Schizosaccharomyces pombe: one gene and its partner. The protein of the gene in region 1 purifies or fractionates together with the protein of each later gene. This does not show direct contact. Each region holds a gene or a part of one and is shown in the gene's direction. Other genes may lie near its edges.

Region 1 (9,925 bases):
CTCATACTCGTATTTGTTTTGCTGTCAATAGCCCTTGTCAAGAGGCCTTGGCCATAGCCTTTGGCGAAGCAGAGAAACATAATTACTATGAAGAGTATAAATCTTCGTACAAAAAGCGTTTTGAGATTCTAGCCAAGGCGTTTGATCAATTAGAGATTCCCTACACTATACCAGATGGCAGTTATTATACGATGGCGAACTTCTCCAAACTCAAATTACCTAAGGACTATCCATTTCCAGAGGAAATAGCCAATCGACCTAGGGATTTCAAGCTTTGTTATTGGATTTTGAAGGAAATTGGTGTTGCTACGATCCCCCCTACCGAATTCTATACGGATGAAGATGCACCAGTTGCAGAGAATTACCTTCGCTTTGCATTTTGCAAAACTTTTGAAACTTTAGAAGAAGCAGCTAGAAGATTACAGAAGTTGAAAGACTATTTTTAGATAGTATTGCTATAGATTACATGTATATCTAAAATTTATACTTATTTGCGTTACAATGAAAACCATCAAAAACGTATTATAGTAAAAGGCAATTTATAAGTGATGTCTAGCTTTATTTTTCTGTTTTTTTAATGGTTATGCAGTTCGACACGATCTGTCCTTATTAATTAATCGCTTATAAAATTATGGGTTTTTCCTCTGGGACATCATTCTTTCCTTCAGTTTGCATTTTCTTAGTAAACTCTTCATTGCAATGATCTTGCATTGCTCGGACTTGTTCTTTTAAGGAAATATAATAATCATCAACTTCAACTGGTTCAAACCCAACGGGAAGACTTTTTAAAAATGGACGTGTAGTATCTGTTTCGCATTTATACGTTAGTTCAAGATTGTTCATTGCTTTAACTTTTATTTGTATATAAAAAAAAAAAAAGAAAAAAAAGAGAAGAAATTAATTAAAACAGAAAAACAGGATTTCCGCAACAATATTAATTGAAAAAAAAGATAGATATTATGCAAAAGCTTCGGATGGAATAAACTATCGTTTTTTATCCGCACAGTTTTTGTAAAGGATAGATATGATATGTTGTCAATATATAGTACTTTAAACAACGTTCTTTAAAATTTACTCACGTTATTATCGGCTTTGCGTTGCTAGTTAGAGGTACTTCTTAAAGCACTACTATCTTATACCAAAGTCTCCTAGTCTACTAGCAAATACTATTGGGCTTTGATAGCACAGGTATGCAATAATCTTTTGTTAAATCATCAAGGCTTAGTAAACTTATTGAGCACCAAATATGAATAATTAAAAATGCATTAAACGCTTTGTGACAATTGATGGCTTCATTGAATTGTTGATTTAGCATCTCAACATTATTTATTAAATATACCAAGAATAAAATATTATTAGGATTCCTATATCAGCTACGCAGTTTGTTATCTGTTGTAACGATACGTTGGATTACGTCGAAATCTCCTTGTTATCTATTATATTGCACTATACTGGTAATGTAAGTAGCAACTTGTTATTAGTATTCTATATGATTACATTTTTAGCCATCACTAATATTGCCTACAGCTGAACCTCGTTCCTCAGTTCAGTTATAGCTTCTATTCGTAATTATCTAATAGATGTTACCAGCGGGTATTTTTGTATACAGAATAGTTATTCTCAATTACCAATAAAAACACCTTAGCTAATATTCTAACATATGATATTTAGCGATAGACAAGCATAATGTAGCATAACATATAGTAGAATTGCAGGTATTACAAAAGCGATGAATATATTCACAACTTTGAGCCATGGAAATCGACCATACACATTTTTTTGGTGTAGCATATGCTCAAATTGGCTTTAAAAAAAAGTTCATGAAATAAAGAAACTTAGTCATCGACAATGGACCTTGGAAAAATAGAAATCCGAAAATTAACGTGATACTGTTTCATATTTTGTATTATTTATTTAGTGTGCGTGACGCATGTTATTAAATATAGCCTTTGTCAAGTTCGTTAAATTAAGCTTATTTTTTATAGAGTAATTGAATCTATTGACGTAACTTACGCCTGCGATACAGAAATGCAAACAACGAATTTCAACTTTTAAAATCTACCATTGTCTAATATTTAAAAAAGCTAGAAATGAAATTGAGGGATAAATGGAAAATTTATTTAGGGTTAACGACTATCAAAGTTCAATGCCCTTGTTTTTTTTTGTTTCACAATGATGAAAATCGAACCACTACATCTAACTTAGATTCGGTAAAGTCTAAAAAAAAAAGAAGGAAGACGATATCTGATGCTTCAATCGTTTCTAATGGATCTCTAGTCTCTCATCCATCTATTGACAAGGGAAAACTCTCTATTCTCAAGCGATATAAAATGTCGCATCGATTAACTGCAATTGATAAACTAAGACCGCTAACTGTGTTGGTAGCGTGGAAACAATTAAACATTGCTATGAGACCAATATTTCCGCAACATCGTTACACCGAACAGGATAAGAAGAATTGGAAAAAAAAGGTTATTATCGAAGATTTAAATTTTTTAGTGCTGCGGTGTATATGCGCTTGCGAAGCAATAAGCGATTTTGAAGAGCTTTTGGGAAATATGCGAATTGGACTGATAATTGACATTTCATTGCTGGGTATGAATAGCAATGAGTCTTCCTTTCTACACTATCTTGTTGAGGTGTGGTCGATTTTTTATTTAGAAATATTGCCGTATATCGAAGCTACGTTTTTGCCTGTTACTTTTGCAAAATTTGAGATTGCTCAATTATTTGAAGAGCCCATGAAAACGTACTGGTTAAAAAAGAGTGCTAATATAGATTTGAAACTGTTTTCTATTTGGGTGTTTCGTAAATTTGTTGTAATGCCAAAGCTGAAAAAGACAAATCGATTCATTGAAATTCCTCAATTGAATACTCAGCAGCAGATTTTACTCGTCCAGATGATTTCCATTATTTCTCTCATAAAGCCACAAGATGAATCCGAAGATCTTCTAATGAACTGGCTAAACGAACTGACTTTAAAATTTTTATATGTCTGAAATTTAATATGTTTTAATAGAAGATAGACTTTTTATACTTTCAATATTTGTTTTTAAAGCCCATTTAAGCAATTTATCTTTTAATATTTGCGGCTTTTGTTAGGTATTTAATAATGTTACCTATTCCTTGTTACTCAATGGTGTTTCTATTTTGCTAACTGGAGTATGCAACAGGACCTCCATATAGACACTTTTTAAAATCGAAAGAACTCTTCTAAGCCCTCTTATGTAATACCATCTTTCCCATGGGTTTGTAGGATGAATAGTTTCCTTTTACTTGACCATGTGTCTGACTCTCAGGATTCTGGAAGTGAATGGTCAAATACTCATGGGTCTTTAATTTCACAACGTGGAAATGAATACGATGGAATTACGCCGGCTACTAAAGAAAAAAATCAAAATAAGCTAGAAATTCTGAACAATGAAACCACCATCGGTTCTACAAAGTCATCGGTGTCTTCATTGCCCGAATTGAATAGGAATGTTTCTTTTGAAAAAAGTGATCAAAATTTAGCTGAAACAAAGAGGGAAGAAGAAAACAAACGAACTGAGGTTTTTAAAAAAGATGCCGAACACGAAGCGGTTGTTGTTAAAAGAGATTTTCGCCCTAGACGTCCTGAGCAAACCCGGCCTTATACTTACGATTTCTTAAGGCATCAAATAGAGTTTAAAAGAATAGGCTTGGTACCCATCACCGTACCGCATGGTTTTTCTTCTGATCGATCTATTACTTCTAAGTCCTCTCATAAACCTGTAAATGTTATAGTTCGTAATCGTGCTTCTTCACGTAAACCACCCTTGACCTCTACTCATCGCTTTAGAAGGTATGGAGCTGTAATATCTGATAGCGATGATGATGAGTCTAATACTGAGCAAGATCATTCAAAGGAATCTAATCTGAATACAGCTGACAATGACCTCGCATTGTCGTCTACTATTGAAGGAAAGAAAACCTCAACTAGCAAAGAGGCTTTAGAATCTGAGTCTTTACTTTCCGATTCGGATCAGTCTATGACAAATATCTCATCGAATTCTACTGTGAGTGATCTGAATTTGAAAACTTTAAAGAAAAGATTACGAGGAGTTTTACCACCATCATTTCTAACTCTTCAAGAAAAAAAAAAATTGGAAAATAGAGGTGTCAAAAAAAAGACATCATTACACAAGAGTGTTATTGAGGGAGAAAAAATAAAAGGTGTGGCTCGACGGAAGTTGCATCCTAGATCGACAGCTAAACTATCTAGTGAATTAGGAAACGAAATATCGGATTCTGACAATAGCATTTCTACGCCAACACCAACTGATGATTCACGGTTTGACACCAGCGAGTTTTTAGATTCAATTTCTCGTGATAATGGCTGGTTGAAAGAAGATGTGGTTGATCAATTATGGCTTCCTAAAAGAAGTTTATCCGCTCTTAAAAAATCAAGTTCTTTGACGTCGGAAAACCCCTTTCAGCTAAATGTAGCAGCCAATGCTGTTTCTACTATTCCTGTCTATCGCACAACTAAAACCAAAATGAAAAAAAATAGATTTAAATATGTCGAAGTGGAAAAATTACCAGACCTTATCCTTGAATCGTATGGGAAAAAGGCGCCAAAGTTTTTGAGGGTGTTTGCTCGAAGTTCATCTCATATTCCAAAAATGATTAGAAGAAAAAGACAAATGGATTCCAAAAAGTATTTTTCCTTCGACAAAGAATCCGATCGCCAAGTTATTGATCAAGTTCTTTCTGATTGGTATTCAGGTAAACATGAGCTTGTTCAACAATCTCATTCTTACAAAAAGCCTTCAGATTCTAAGTCAGTTGGTGGAAATATTTTTTCTGTTAATTCTAAAAAGCATAGTGTAAATATTAACGCTAAAACAGCAGCAAATAACGGTTTGAGTCATCTTCAAAATTTTAGCGAGGAACTCTTAAAAAAAAGAAAGCTATTTTCTTCTCTTTTTTCTAATAACGTTTCATACAAAAAATCCAAAAAGTTAAAAAGGACTCATACAGTACATGACAAATGCCAAAAAGTTGCCAAATTAGACCATTACATTAGGGACAATATTGAATTAAACTCAAAGGAAAGAGAACATGATTGTTATGAGGGGACTTTAGCTGTACCCCAAGTAAATACTGAGATCCGCAAGTCTTCAAGAAAGCAGAAGGCTCAACGATTTATACGAGACGATTTTGACACCGTCTTTTTTCAATCCTCTTCAAACCCTAATTATTTTACAGATGTAAATCCTTTTTGGAATATAGGTATTTGGTCTACTACATTTAATGTCATAACTTTTAGACCGGGACTTAGTTTGCCCAACAACTCCTTTATAAAAACCCAAGGGTTAAATTCTATTCTTCAATTGGACATCGTCACACATCCTTTTAAGTCTGTTTATGCTTTTTCTTGTTTATTCAATATCCAGGATGATGTTTTTAAAACATTCGAAAAATTAAAAGACACTTTTGAGACAGTCTTAGAAAATCTTCCATACTTTACAAACTCTGAAACTGTTGACTTGTACAATCTACTTTCTTTTTGCTCTGCGTTTATTCTTCATTCTCAAGTATCAATGGGCTTGGTTAACTTGGCTTCCTCCTTTTTAGAAACCTATGCATTAGTCAATGATCGTGTTTCTTCTATATCGGGGTTGAATAGATCACAATTGGTTGAAAAAATAGCTGTGTTGTTTCAAACTTTTCAAGTTGTATTTTATTGTGAATTTGAACTTGGAAATCAGCAAAACATTAATAAAGTTTCCTGGCTGGCAAGTGATTTGATTTCAAAACTTCTTTCTGCTGGTCAATCTGGTCTATTGGAATGTTATCGGAATTTGAGAATTCAAGCTTCAGATACGACTGTAATTGACACTCTTTTTTTGGAATCTTGGTCAATTTTAAATCATATTCTTTTTCATGTATATAAGAAGAAATATGCTTTGTGGGAACAGGTGAATTCATTTTTTGATCTTCAAAAAAAGGAGTTGTCTATATTAGAAATGGAAAAAATTTGGTATGTTATAATGACGCTCAATCCCGTTTTCCAAATTGGGCTTAATGGAACGACTCATTCACCAGGAAACAATAGTTTTTGGCCACTGATAATCAGAGTTTCAGAAAGTGCATTTAAAATGCATAAGGACGGACACAATGTTAAAGTGGTTGAGCGATACCTTCGCACAGTGTTTCTTCGAATTCATTTTCTCATATCTGAATGGCGTTGGGAGGATGTGGCTCAAATCCTATTTTTGATATTCGATTTCTTTAGCCATAGAAAGTTTAATGACCTTTCTTCTGAAATATCTGAAGATACACCAACTGACTTTCCTGATTTTGTTAAGTCACTTGACAGACCTCCAAATCTTCATGTAACTGCTCTTGATACATGTTTTGTAATTTATTTAAAAGTTATTTTAATTTCTATAAGCCGTTTGAGGCAAGTAGATGAAAATACAAATTCAATCAAGAGGATAGTATCCAGATTACAGCCCTTACATTCACGTCAATACACGCGAGAAAGTCCATTCTCAATTAAGGACTTTATGTCTTTGGAACATACTCACACTCTTCTTATTTGTCTTTATTGGGCAGCACCCGAGAATTGTAGGCCCAGTTTAAATCGCATTAGGGATATTGTAATCGTCGATAATTCTCATCTTAAGGCACGTTTAATTAGTCTAAAAGCATGGCTTCACCTAATGAAGTATGTGATAAAAGAGGGAACTGATTATGAACTCGCTCAGGGAATGGAGTGGTTTAATTCCATTTTAAAAGTTACATTTGATGAATATCTTGCTCTCTTTTCAAATGGAACTTCTGTTGGTGAGATGCAATTGGCTGAATACTCGAAACATCAACTTGAAAATGCGCTAATTGTAGCTTTCCATTCCCTTCAAGATTTAATTCCCAATTCTTCAGTTTATATTAGTAGGATAAACGTTTTGGTGACGGAGCAGTCATGCCGGCGCATTCTTAAAGACTCTCATTTTTTTCCTCCTCGCGTTACTCTGGAGTGTATTTTATTTCTAAAAAAGTTTTTGCAGTATCAATCTAATACAGAGCCACCTAAGGTTACCGTTGTTGGTAGCACTTCGCATGATAGTCAAGATGCTTACTTTGATTCTGATGTGCTGGATGATAACACACTCATTTTAGAACAAGAAAAGTTTGAACGTAAATACGAAGTGGCTCAAATATTGAGAACATTTGTTTCACCCTTTTTGTATCAAACGATATCTTATCTCGTTGGAAATGACGAGGACAAAGAAAATTATATTCGTATTTTACTTTTACCATTAATGGAGTGCATGGCAATTTGTGCTAGTTTTGCTGTAGAAGCGAAAATCAATGACTGGAGTTACTATATCGATTTTGGGTCTGAGTCTTGGGAAAGGATTCGTAACACTCCTTTGAAAAGATCTCTCAGTACCACGTTTTATTCCTTCCTTATATCTTATAATGATTCTTTTATTAAAAAACATGAGGAAAAAGTCTTAACTGTATGGTTTGAATCACTGGGCGCTTTAGATGAGGATCATGCTGCACAATTTACGATTTTGTTATTACAGAAAAACCTAAAAAATCCTATTTTGCTTAATTTACCGATATCCGTCAAAATTGAGGAAATTAGTATAAATTACTTTAAGTCGGTTCACTTGAATTTATTAACAGCTGTGTTTTGCAACATGGCAAAACTGTATGCTGATGCCAAGACAAATGGTTTCGCGAGCTCTCAATATTTACAGAGCTTGTTTATTCATTACCTATCCTCTCTACTGTCTTCTATGCAGCATAGTTATGAGACAAATGGTCATTCTTCTGATACTCACTCTTTGTTTGTTATTAATTCACAACGTGTTGTCGGAGACATTTTACAGTATTGTAGTCAATTTGCAAATGATCGTAACCTTCCTGCCCTCAGATATTTTATGGACTCAACTAAGTTCCCCCAACCACCGGAGCGTCTCGAATATACGGCCTTGAGGTTACGAAGTTATGCGAGAAAAACTCTCACAAATTCAGCTTCTCAAAATGCTTTGTTTAGTTTCCTAAAAGCAAATTTTGATGTTGCTCTGCTAGAACAAAAGCAAACTGAAACTTCTAATCTTTTAAGGCTGGCTATGGGATTCCATAATCAAAATAGCTCCAGCAAATGGGATGTCGAGATTTCTTCTCTTCGGAAATTTTGTGTAAAGGAACTTTTATTGAGTTACCTTGGTGAAGGCTCGTTAGCAGCTATGTTTTATTCATTGTTACTACTGGAGGGTCTAAGCCGAACTTACAACAGCTTTAGACGTATATATTTGCAACCTTACATTCAACAGTTACTGTGTGAAGAAATTTCTGTTTTTGTGGCTGATTTAGAGAAATATGCTTTATTATATGAAAACAAACGCCCTTTACTTTCTGGGAGAATATATTACCTTATTTCTTCATTTGTGGCTATAAGCATGACAAACAAAACCAGTGGATTGCCATCTAGTTTAATATGTAACTTACAGAATTTTTTAGCTCGCATAGCTCGAGACTTCCTTCTTGAATTATGTTGGAATATTGAAGGGTCTGAGTTTCCCCCTCCTTACAATACTGTTGATTGTCGTAGCAAATTTGTTAAAACTATTCAGCAACATTGCTCAGCGGATTGGTACGACAACGTTACCAATATTGTACATAAGTCTAGGAAGAAAAAACTAGTTTTGCCTTCTCAGGTGGAACAGGAAGAAGAATACTGGTCAGGTTTAATGGAAGTTACTATTCAAATATGGAAACACGATAAAGGTTTTTTAGAGCCTGAATTAGATAGGTTTCTCAATGTAATTTGCAGTTATGCACCTGACATGAGTGGGTTACCGACAAAAATCAAATGCTTTTTGGATAAAATCGGCTATTCTTGGATGACTGAAGAGAATGATTTTGATATTGTATTGTTTTAAAAGCCAAAATTAAAAGATTTTTCAGTTGTGGTTGCTTTTGGTTTCCACGTTGTTTATTTTATTTATTTTATTTATTTTTAATATTTCATTTGATGTCTGTGTAATACACAAACTCATTTATTAATTATCTCTTGTTGTATACAAAATAATTAGACAATGAAATAATCCAGTTCTGCATATTTCTTTTGCTTAGAGCTCTTTTTTTTTGCTACTAGTACATCCATTAATGTACGTAATTTTATTATCACATGACTGTGGTCTAATTTGACCAGTAAAATATAATGTATTTCTATTATAAGCCATCTGATCAAAAATACTTCTAACCTAAGATAAAACCCAAAATCCAAATATATTATTCTGTATCAGAATAAGCAGATGACCCTTCATTTCCGCTGTCATCATTTTTGTTCGAAGAAGTAATACCTTCTTTTTTCTGGTCTTTTCTTCTTTTCTTATTTTCACGTTTCCTCCTGACATTTTCGTCTTGCTCTTTCTTTCTTTTTTCTTTTAACGCGCGACTCTGTTCGTGAAAATTATCTTGTTGCTTTATTTCCTCTTTAGATTTATGGACATGACTGTGATAAAGTACCTTTCCTCCCATCGCATCTTCAGTAATCTTGATCAATTCCAATGTCATCCTAGGGCCTATTTCAATTAACTTAATTGCCTGTTGCTTAGGTTTTAATAGTTGAGATGCCGATAGTAGATTCTCTTCAGTTTTAGTCGGTACAGGACGATCAATCTCTACGGTTGCATCCTCTTCGATTTCTGAGTCACTTGCTGCACCAGAAATACCATCACCATGTAAAACATAATCCGAAATATCACGAACATTGTGTAAATCAGGGATATCAGAGTCCTTTTTTTCACCTTTCAACAGATGTCTTATAGGGCGAGAAATACCCACAGGCTTCGTGCTAATTATGAAATGACGAAGGTCGATATAACCATCGTCGCGGCGGTTTAATAACAGAACCCGTTTAACACTATTAATGTTGGTA
Region 2 (8,270 bases), 1.8 Mb from region 1:
GTCAGATTAACAGTTAAAAAACACAATGAACAACATCATTCCAATACCACTATGAATCAAACCGATTCTAGTCAATGTATCATGTAGCTTTTGGAAATATATTCTTAAAGCACGTTGATTTAAGGAAGATGACTTGCATCAAAGATGGAGGAAGTGGTACTGGCAGGACGATCAATCAAATCAGCAGCAGGACTAGGTAACGGCTCAGGTGATGATGAACCCACGGACCATTCATGATCGGTGTTAGCAAGTTCCATATTGTTAAGACCACTCATGAAGGCTACTGCATTAGGGTTTTGAGTAAAAGAATCCCTTCCAAGTAAGTATGGGCTGCCGGTACGAGCCAAGGAGTTGCTGGTTTTTTCGGAAAGACCATGACCGTGGATAACAAACTCGTATTCCCAACGAAGGATTTTACCAGTTTGCAACTGTGGGAGGCGTAGCTTTTGAGCAAAAACGAAGCATATAATAGCTAAACACATACCGCCGACCAAATCTACAAAGTAGTGGTGGGTAAGGTACATAGTACACCAGCAAAGCCATAGAACATATCCATAAAAGCAGAAGCGGTATCGAGGAAACACATGCGAAAGGAAAAGTGCTTCCAGCATGGCCCATCCAGCGTGAAGAGATGGAAAGGCACCAAAAACAACCGGAGAGTTAGAAAAACCATCAGTGTAAATGCTAGTGCCGAAGAGAGCATCAATACGGGCCAATCCACCAGGAGAGCCACGTACTGCATACGTGGCAGGTTCTAAACCATACATATTTTCATACCAAGGAGGAGAACAGGGGAAAGCCATTTGGATAAGAACACCAAATAAATTCATATAACCAAAAGTTCGAGCCCAAACTGGAAGAGTTCCAGGAGGTGCAAAGATGAAAAGAATAAATGAAATGATAAAAGGAGCCGAATAATGCATGACTCCATATGGAACCCAGGCCAAAATATCAAGGATGCTATGCGTGGTTTTCGAGAGAAGACTAGAAAGATTAGAGCCATAAAGAATATTTTCAAGTGTGGGTAAAACACGAACCCATATGGGTGGACGCCAGCGTTCTGGAATAAACCTACAAGAGTAAAATAAAATTGCCCAGGTGATGATAACAATGGCAGGAAAAAAAATTTGGCGTGTTAAAGGAACGGTCAACGCAATGGCCAAAAGACAGGCAATGCCAAATTTCCCCCAGAATCCAGGAGATTCAATGACAATACAAGCAAAAATCAAATTACCTGCTAGAAACACATATTGCAAATGTGTCCATGACCATTTCGTATTGCGTAGCAAACGAAATGTAGGCATAGGGTTTAAGCTTGTTTCCAACTTGTATTGGGATGCTCGGTTACACGCAGCAAGGCGCTTTTTTAAGGTCGAAAGAGCAGACATTGCTTCAAAGAATTATCAGAGTAAAAAAGGGAAGCGTACGAAAAAAATTTCGTAAGGAATTAACCGGAAAACTAAAGGAAAAAAAAGGAATTTTTATGAAGGAAAGAAAGTAGCTATTAAATGCAAGTGTCAAGCACTTAAAAGTAGCGATGTAAAATATTTAAAAAAAGATGGACCGATTAACCAATGTTCAGCTCACAGTTGCCAGCAATCAGGGCTATTTTTTTATTTTTTTTATAAAATTGCTAATTATATATAATATAATTAGTTTATTAACTTGCTTTTCCTCAAAAAACCAATTCGAGAAAGGAACTTTTGCAGAGGCAAAAAAGCTTCTCCGAAAGAGATACTAGTTTAAAAACCTTTGGTTGCAAATACAAACCAAAATACTCCAATTTAACTATACAATTGGAGTTAGTCGATTTCAATTGCCCCGTATAAATGGTTCTTTAGAGGTTGGTAGTGGCGAGCTGAGAATGGTACGGTCGGCTAGTATTTGTTTAGGTTTGGCAAGTGGTGTTACTGTAGCGCAACACAAGATAGCCTAGCGAAAACAACGTTATTTCGAAACTCTAGGTAATTGGAAGATATTCCTTCTCAGGTAACACTATTCGGCAACGGCAGCCAATAAAATATTTGAAAGCTAAGACTCGTTATTAAACAATAAGACACTAAGCTCCATATATAATTACCGTATCCAAGTTTACTGCACGGAAATGAGAAAGCGGAAAGTAAATCAGAAACAATTTTAGCGAAATAAAATATGAATTTCGATATAATAAGATAAAAACATTGCGGTTGAGGGTAGTATCAGATGAAGCAAATATATTATTGTAACTAAATACCTTAAGCGCATCTAGGACACGTACTTAAGCATGGGTCTATATATTCAATAACTTAGCAATGTTACGAAATATTTAGGAGGAATAGTTTTATGCACTCTTTAATACTTCAAATTTTACTTCCGTCTATATCTGTTGAATTAAGCATTCAAAATGACAATTGACAACATTAAAACAATGTAAATCTATTTGGAAGTACTAATTTTTGTTTTCGATTTCTTAATTAGGAAAACAAAAAGTGCCTACTTGCATTTTCACAGCCTTTTTCTTTGGATTCTGAATGTATACATTAGCACCCTGTTGATAATTCTTTCACGTAGGTAAAAAAGACATCATTAAGCTATTGATTTTAAATGGCCGTAGAAAATTCAAACTGTCGTAGGTCAGACAACACTTCTCTAAAGATGAAACCAAATCGTATATTTGTTAACTAGAAATCAAAATCATATATCGCATATTAATTGTTATCTTAATTTTTGTGTTCCTTAGGTTCTCGAAATTCCAACGATGGATATTCTTACATACATTCAACACAACCCAACATATTAACTCGAACAAGCCATGGTTGGTTGTCAATAATCCTTTCACATTTGGAGGAACTCGTAAGGATCTATCTTCTAAATAAGGGCGTTATATATATTTAAACCTGTACATATCTATTTTCATTGATTTTAATGTTTTTTCCGTATTTGCTAATTTCTTTGATGCATACGATTAACTAATAGCTTTTTCTATTCTATCAAAATTTGACTCTAATCAAATTAAATTGGTTCCAAGCGTTTAACTTTGTGAATTCATGGCAGAAATTATTCATCATTCAAACGTATTCACCTGGGCTTTTCATGTTTCCGAATATGATGGTGCTCCTCTCCTTTTACTTGGATCTTTTTCCTCTGTAGCTTCTGTGAGTTTAAAGCGATCTGGTGATTTACTACTTTTTGAAAGATTCACGTTGCCTGCAAGAACGAGGTCTGTTGCTTTGTTATCAAGCCATTTCCTTCAGTCAGAATCAGGTAGACATTCAATAGCGAATATTTTAATTGCTACTGAAAACGGAAAATGCTACTTGTTGCAGCTCGTCAAAACACCAGAAAAAGCGTTTCCGACGATTCGTATTAGAGATGAATTCGTTCTTGATACTCGAATGTACAACCATGAACAATTAGGAAAATCAATTGATTTATGCCCAAATGCTTCCTTGTGGGCTACTAATTCTTTTGCTGGTGATATTGTATTTTTCTTTTCACATCATCCTTCCTTAAGCAAGCAAGTCTTCGCTCAACTTTCTATCGATGGAATAATACTTCATACCATATTTGTACCTCCAAAAAGATCCTCTTCGTCTTGTGTTACGTATGTTTGTCTTTTTCTAGATTCAAATTCGAATCCTAGAATCAATGTTTATAGGTGGTCTAAGACGGAAACCTTTTCTGATGCTAGTTCTTACATAACCTTCTCAATACCGGTTCCATCCGAATTTTCTCTTGCTTCCCATATTATCCCTTGCTCCAATATTCCTGATCATTTTTTAGTATTATTGGAGACAAAGATTTGTCTGCTTTCTGTCCCACAGATAGAATGTGGGGATCTAAAATTTTTACAGACCGATCTTCCATGCAGCGGTTCACATAATTATCCATTGTCTATTGCAAATGATAACGAAACTCCGAATTGTTGCTATTTAACCTACGAAAATGGAGATTTGTATCGCATTCGTTACTCTATTTTGTCTATTGATATTAATTTAATTGGAAAGACTGGATCTTCTTTAGGAAATTTGATACTACCTTGTTATCCATACATTGTTTTTTGTGGTGACTGTTCTGATACATTAGTGTATGATGTTTCGGTATCGCCTATGTCCTTTTTTGGTAGCTTAATTGCTTGCGCTCCAATGTGGGATTTTGTGTATTCCTCATCAAGGCATAACACTTTGTTGGATGAAGACATCAATTGTAATACAGTTTATGCTACTGCTGGCATTGGTAAATCTGGGTGTTTGGTCACAATGCGTTACGGGTGCTCATCCACTACTTTGCTTGAAGCAATATTAACTGAGGGAGCTGTTTTATCAGGAATTATAAATTCTAACCACAACTCTGAATTTTACGCTTGGCTAACTTATCCTTGGCAAACACAAATTTTAAGGCTTCATCTCGATGGGGTCGTCGAAGATGTTACCGAAAGTCTTTTTTTGGATGATATAAAAGCTTTATATGTTATAAATTACCAAAATACGTTTATCATTATTACGGGAAAATCCATTTATGCTGTTACTCCTAGTTGTACAAAGTATAACCTTCTTGAGGTTTCAGGAGATGAAGAATTTGTTTTGGCTGCTTATAACGAATTAATTTTCATCGTTAAAAAAGATTTAATGAATTTCAAAAGTCAATTGCTTACACTAAAACTAAATACTCTTTCTAATGGTACACTTGAACTTCAGTCGCTTCCGGATTCCTTCGATCTACACGATGTCCCTACTTGTATTACTTCCTTTTCTTTGGAAAGAAAGCTACTGGTGATACTGGTTCATCCTTCACCTTATTTTGAATGCGTTTTCTATGATGAAACCTCACACTCTAGTGTCTATAAAGTCCCCTTAACAGGTTTTCAATTTGGATACCTTCCTCATAGCATATCGTATTTGAGAAAATCAAACCGCGCTGTTTATGTATTGATTTCATCCAACTCTACTCTTTTAACCGTCTATGTAACTCTAACGTTAGAGGGAGTACCGGATTTTAAAGTTTACTCTAATCCTATTTCAACAGACTTACCACTCACGTTACAGTCACCCTCCGATGAGTTTTCAACAATTTATGCATGGTCTGACTATTTGTATATAGTGGGTATCGATATGGAAACTGAACAACCTACGCTGAACCAGATACTTGAAGTAAATGACAGTTTTACTTGTGTTTCTGGTATTTACGATATTCCAAATAAGTTCCAGAACAGTGAATCAAGAATCATAGTGTATTATTCGAATAATACTTTGTACCTATCGGAACTTTGGCTTCCACAGCGAACCTTTTCTTCAAAACTAAATCTTGCAGCAACTCCCAAGAGATTACTTGTTGATAAATATACGAACACTTTAATCATTGGATGTTGTCACGTTTTAGTAAATGAAATTACAACCTCAGGTCTTGCTTTTTACGACTTGACTAAGTGAGTTACGTGTTTCTAGTGCCTACTAACAATTACACAGCTCGCGACTTTTCCCTGTCAATTGGCCTTCAATGGATATTAAAGGTAAACCAATATTCAAACCGGAGGAATTATTATATTCTATGTCTTGTAAGTTAGCTTTACTTTAATCACCTAACGATTATTTAGTTTGGATTGTAGCCGACGATCAAAAAAGAAAATATAGGTACCTTTGTATAGGAACAGGGGTACGAAAAAACGGATTAACTACAGGTCGTTTGTTAATTCTTACCATGAATAAAGATCATGACAGCAATGCTATAGAACTTCGCAATGTCATCACAATTAATATGAAAGACCCTATTTATTCCGTTTGTTCGATCGGAAAACATGGATTGTGTTATGCAACAGGACGAAAGATTGGTGTAAAGATGTTGGACTTAGACTCAAAGAAGTTTTGCAACAGTGATTGTGAGTTACCTGTTCGGTCTCCCATTGTATCGATGTCAACGTATAAGGACTATGTGTACACTTCTAGTTTAAGAGATTCTGTTGCCGTGTTCCAGTATGATAGTGAAAACAACTCCCTTAATTTAGTTTGCAGCGACACATCATCGAGACTAGGCATTGATTGCTTTTACATTTCACAAAAAAAATTATTGTTTTCTTGTGACAAAGACCGGTTATTAACTTGTTTCAAAGTTGAGGGTGAAGTTTGCACGTCTACCAGAGAACAAATGCTCCAGCCAATTCTTACTACAGTGTCTCAAACAAAAACAAATGCCTTAACTAACCATTTAAAGTATTCAGTTATTCGGGTGGATAAAGATAATCATAATATTGTTTGGGGATTGATGGGTTGTACTTTAGATGGGAATATCTTCAAGATCTTAATGCCTAACGATCCGACTTCGTCGGATACAATTATCTATTCTGATACTTAATGTTATCACACATTAGAAATTCCAATTTACAACAATAAATTTATCAGAGCAATACTAATGAACAATTTTTGGATGGTTTTAAATGACGTAGATAAGCAAAGAGTATAATATTAAATTAATTTAATATAAACTTGGAACGCATGAATGTTAATTTTCATTAAAAAAGAGTTATATAAGTCAATAAATCTTTACATGTCAGCAGTAAAAAGTTGGCTAGCTATCGACAACTTTCTGACAGCAGTGTTTCATTCACAATCTTCGTGTTCCCATATAACCCGCCTAAAGATTGCTGGACAAAAATAATTCTTTGAGAGTCATAAAGGTAATGGTGTCCTGCAGAAGTGCAAATAATTTGTAACTGTAATCCAAACTTTAAATGACTTAAAATTTTCCCACTTTTATCGTCTAGTTGCTGAAGATAATGTTTCTGGCGAATCCAGGTTTTAGAGCAATCAACCATACTTGAAACATTATAAGGCACCAAAAAAACTTTAATGACTAAACCGTTAGTTTGTCGAAGTATTAGTTGTAATTGCCCAACTGATGGAATTCTATATCCGAATGGATAGCCTTTATTCATGACTTTGTCGCTTTTTTGACTTCTCAGTCGAAATCGACCGATATAAGGAAATTGCACATTATCAACATTTCCAACGAGTGAGTAAGCCACAAAATTTATTTTTAAATGTGGCGGGAAAACAAGTGAAGGCTTGCATCGGCAAAACGAAATAACCCCAATTTCTATGGAAAACTCAAAAGGTACTGATGAACAGTAAGGCATGTGACCACTAAACAAACTCTCCTCGTATGATCCTATAAAACCACTCCTTTGAAAGCAGTTCTTCAATGAATAGGTATTTATACCTTTGGCGTTAAGAGAATGTTCAGCAGAAGCATCAATTGGTTGTTGTTGAGTTATATAATCACCAGACAATAATTTATTACAACGACATGAACATCTCGTGAACAGATGAGGCCCATTTGAAGGTTTAACAGATTTCTCATTGTTAAAAATTTCGAATTTCAATGGAGAATTACAGAGAAAGTGGTTGTTCGCCTTACTATTACCAGGAAAGTTTGAAAAAAAGTCTTTCATCTGACTTATCGATTTCAAATTCATCCATTCTTGTTCGATTGGAAAACTCCTGCTAGTAGAGAACAAGTTTCGAATATTTTTGTATAGCAATTCATTATTTTCAAGAGACGTTGATGTCGCACAATAACAAGCTGGCATTAATAAAAAAGAAAAAGAAAAGGAATAAAAGGCTTTCGATAATCGAATACAAATGAATGCGGTTTGTTCGCATTCAAGGAAAGTAAGGTATTAATGTCAAGAAAAAACAAAACAAAAAATTCAACACGGAAATAAAGTGCCTTATATCGTGTCAATGCTTAACCACTTTTTGATAAACGAAAAAAAAATAACAAAAAAAACAGAAAATCATTAAATCATGGATAACCGTAAGTATTTTTCGAGAAAGCCTCAGTTCACTAAAGAAAATATAATTCCCAACATTAAGAGTTATTCAGCTTATAATCACCAATAAAAAAGGGATAAACTACAAGGAATTTTCTTCTCGTGAATAATTAATTCATAAGCAAATTGTAAATCAACGTCTTCAGAACAAAGCAAAAATTTTAAAAGCTAAAAATGTTTGTCAAAATATTCCTATCACAGACAAATCCAAGTTCAATTCAAAAATAATGAAAAAGTCGTTGAGATTTCAGGATTATAAGTATGTGTGAAGGGAAAGGTAAAGAACAGTCCATGGGCGTATGACGCAGATATATAGATTATGTTTGAAGGTATGTTTTCGATATAGCATTTAATATTTGTCAATTTACAAACTATACAATATTGAGAAAAGAATTTTTAATTTAGTTATATACCCTAATAGCCTTAAACGTATTCTGTCTATAACTACAGTCAAAAAATAAAAACA

What was found.
Region 2: the proteins of mus7 (region 1) and mms1 purify together in Schizosaccharomyces pombe (affinity purification with western blotting; one study listed by BioGRID). This does not show direct contact.

Annotation. Positions count from the first base shown.
Region 1 is NC_003424.3:2,407,303-2,417,227, reverse strand, and holds mus7 (DNA repair protein Mus7/Mms22), read left to right. Parts: upstream 1-3,180; 5' UTR 3,181-3,257; coding exon 3,258-8,924; 3' UTR 8,925-9,092; downstream 9,093-9,925. Other genes in the region: SPOM_SPAC6B12.04C (aminotransferase class I and II), read left to right, coding at 1-446; EKC/KEOPS complex subunit Gon7, read right to left, coding at 622-843; HbrB family protein involved in TOR signaling Bit2, read left to right, coding at 2,091-2,999; SPOM_SPAC1B9.03C (ribosome biogenesis protein), read right to left, coding at 9,277-9,925. UniProt on the Schizosaccharomyces pombe protein: Involved in protection against replication-dependent DNA damage. May act by restoring active replication forks, repairing unusual DNA structures, and/or preventing aberrant DNA rearrangement at arrested replication forks.
Region 2 is NC_003424.3:592,034-600,303, reverse strand, and holds mms1 (E3 ubiquitin ligase complex subunit Mms1), read left to right. Parts: upstream 1-2,777; 5' UTR 2,778-3,026; coding exon 3,027-5,404; exon of another isoform or gene 5,405-5,444; coding exon 5,445-5,533; exon of another isoform or gene 5,534-5,572; coding exon 5,573-6,327; 3' UTR 6,328-6,403; downstream 6,404-8,270. Other genes in the region: inositol phosphorylceramide synthase Aur1, read right to left, coding at 120-1,388; SPOM_SPAC3H8.04 (chromosome segregation protein), read right to left, coding at 6,545-7,561.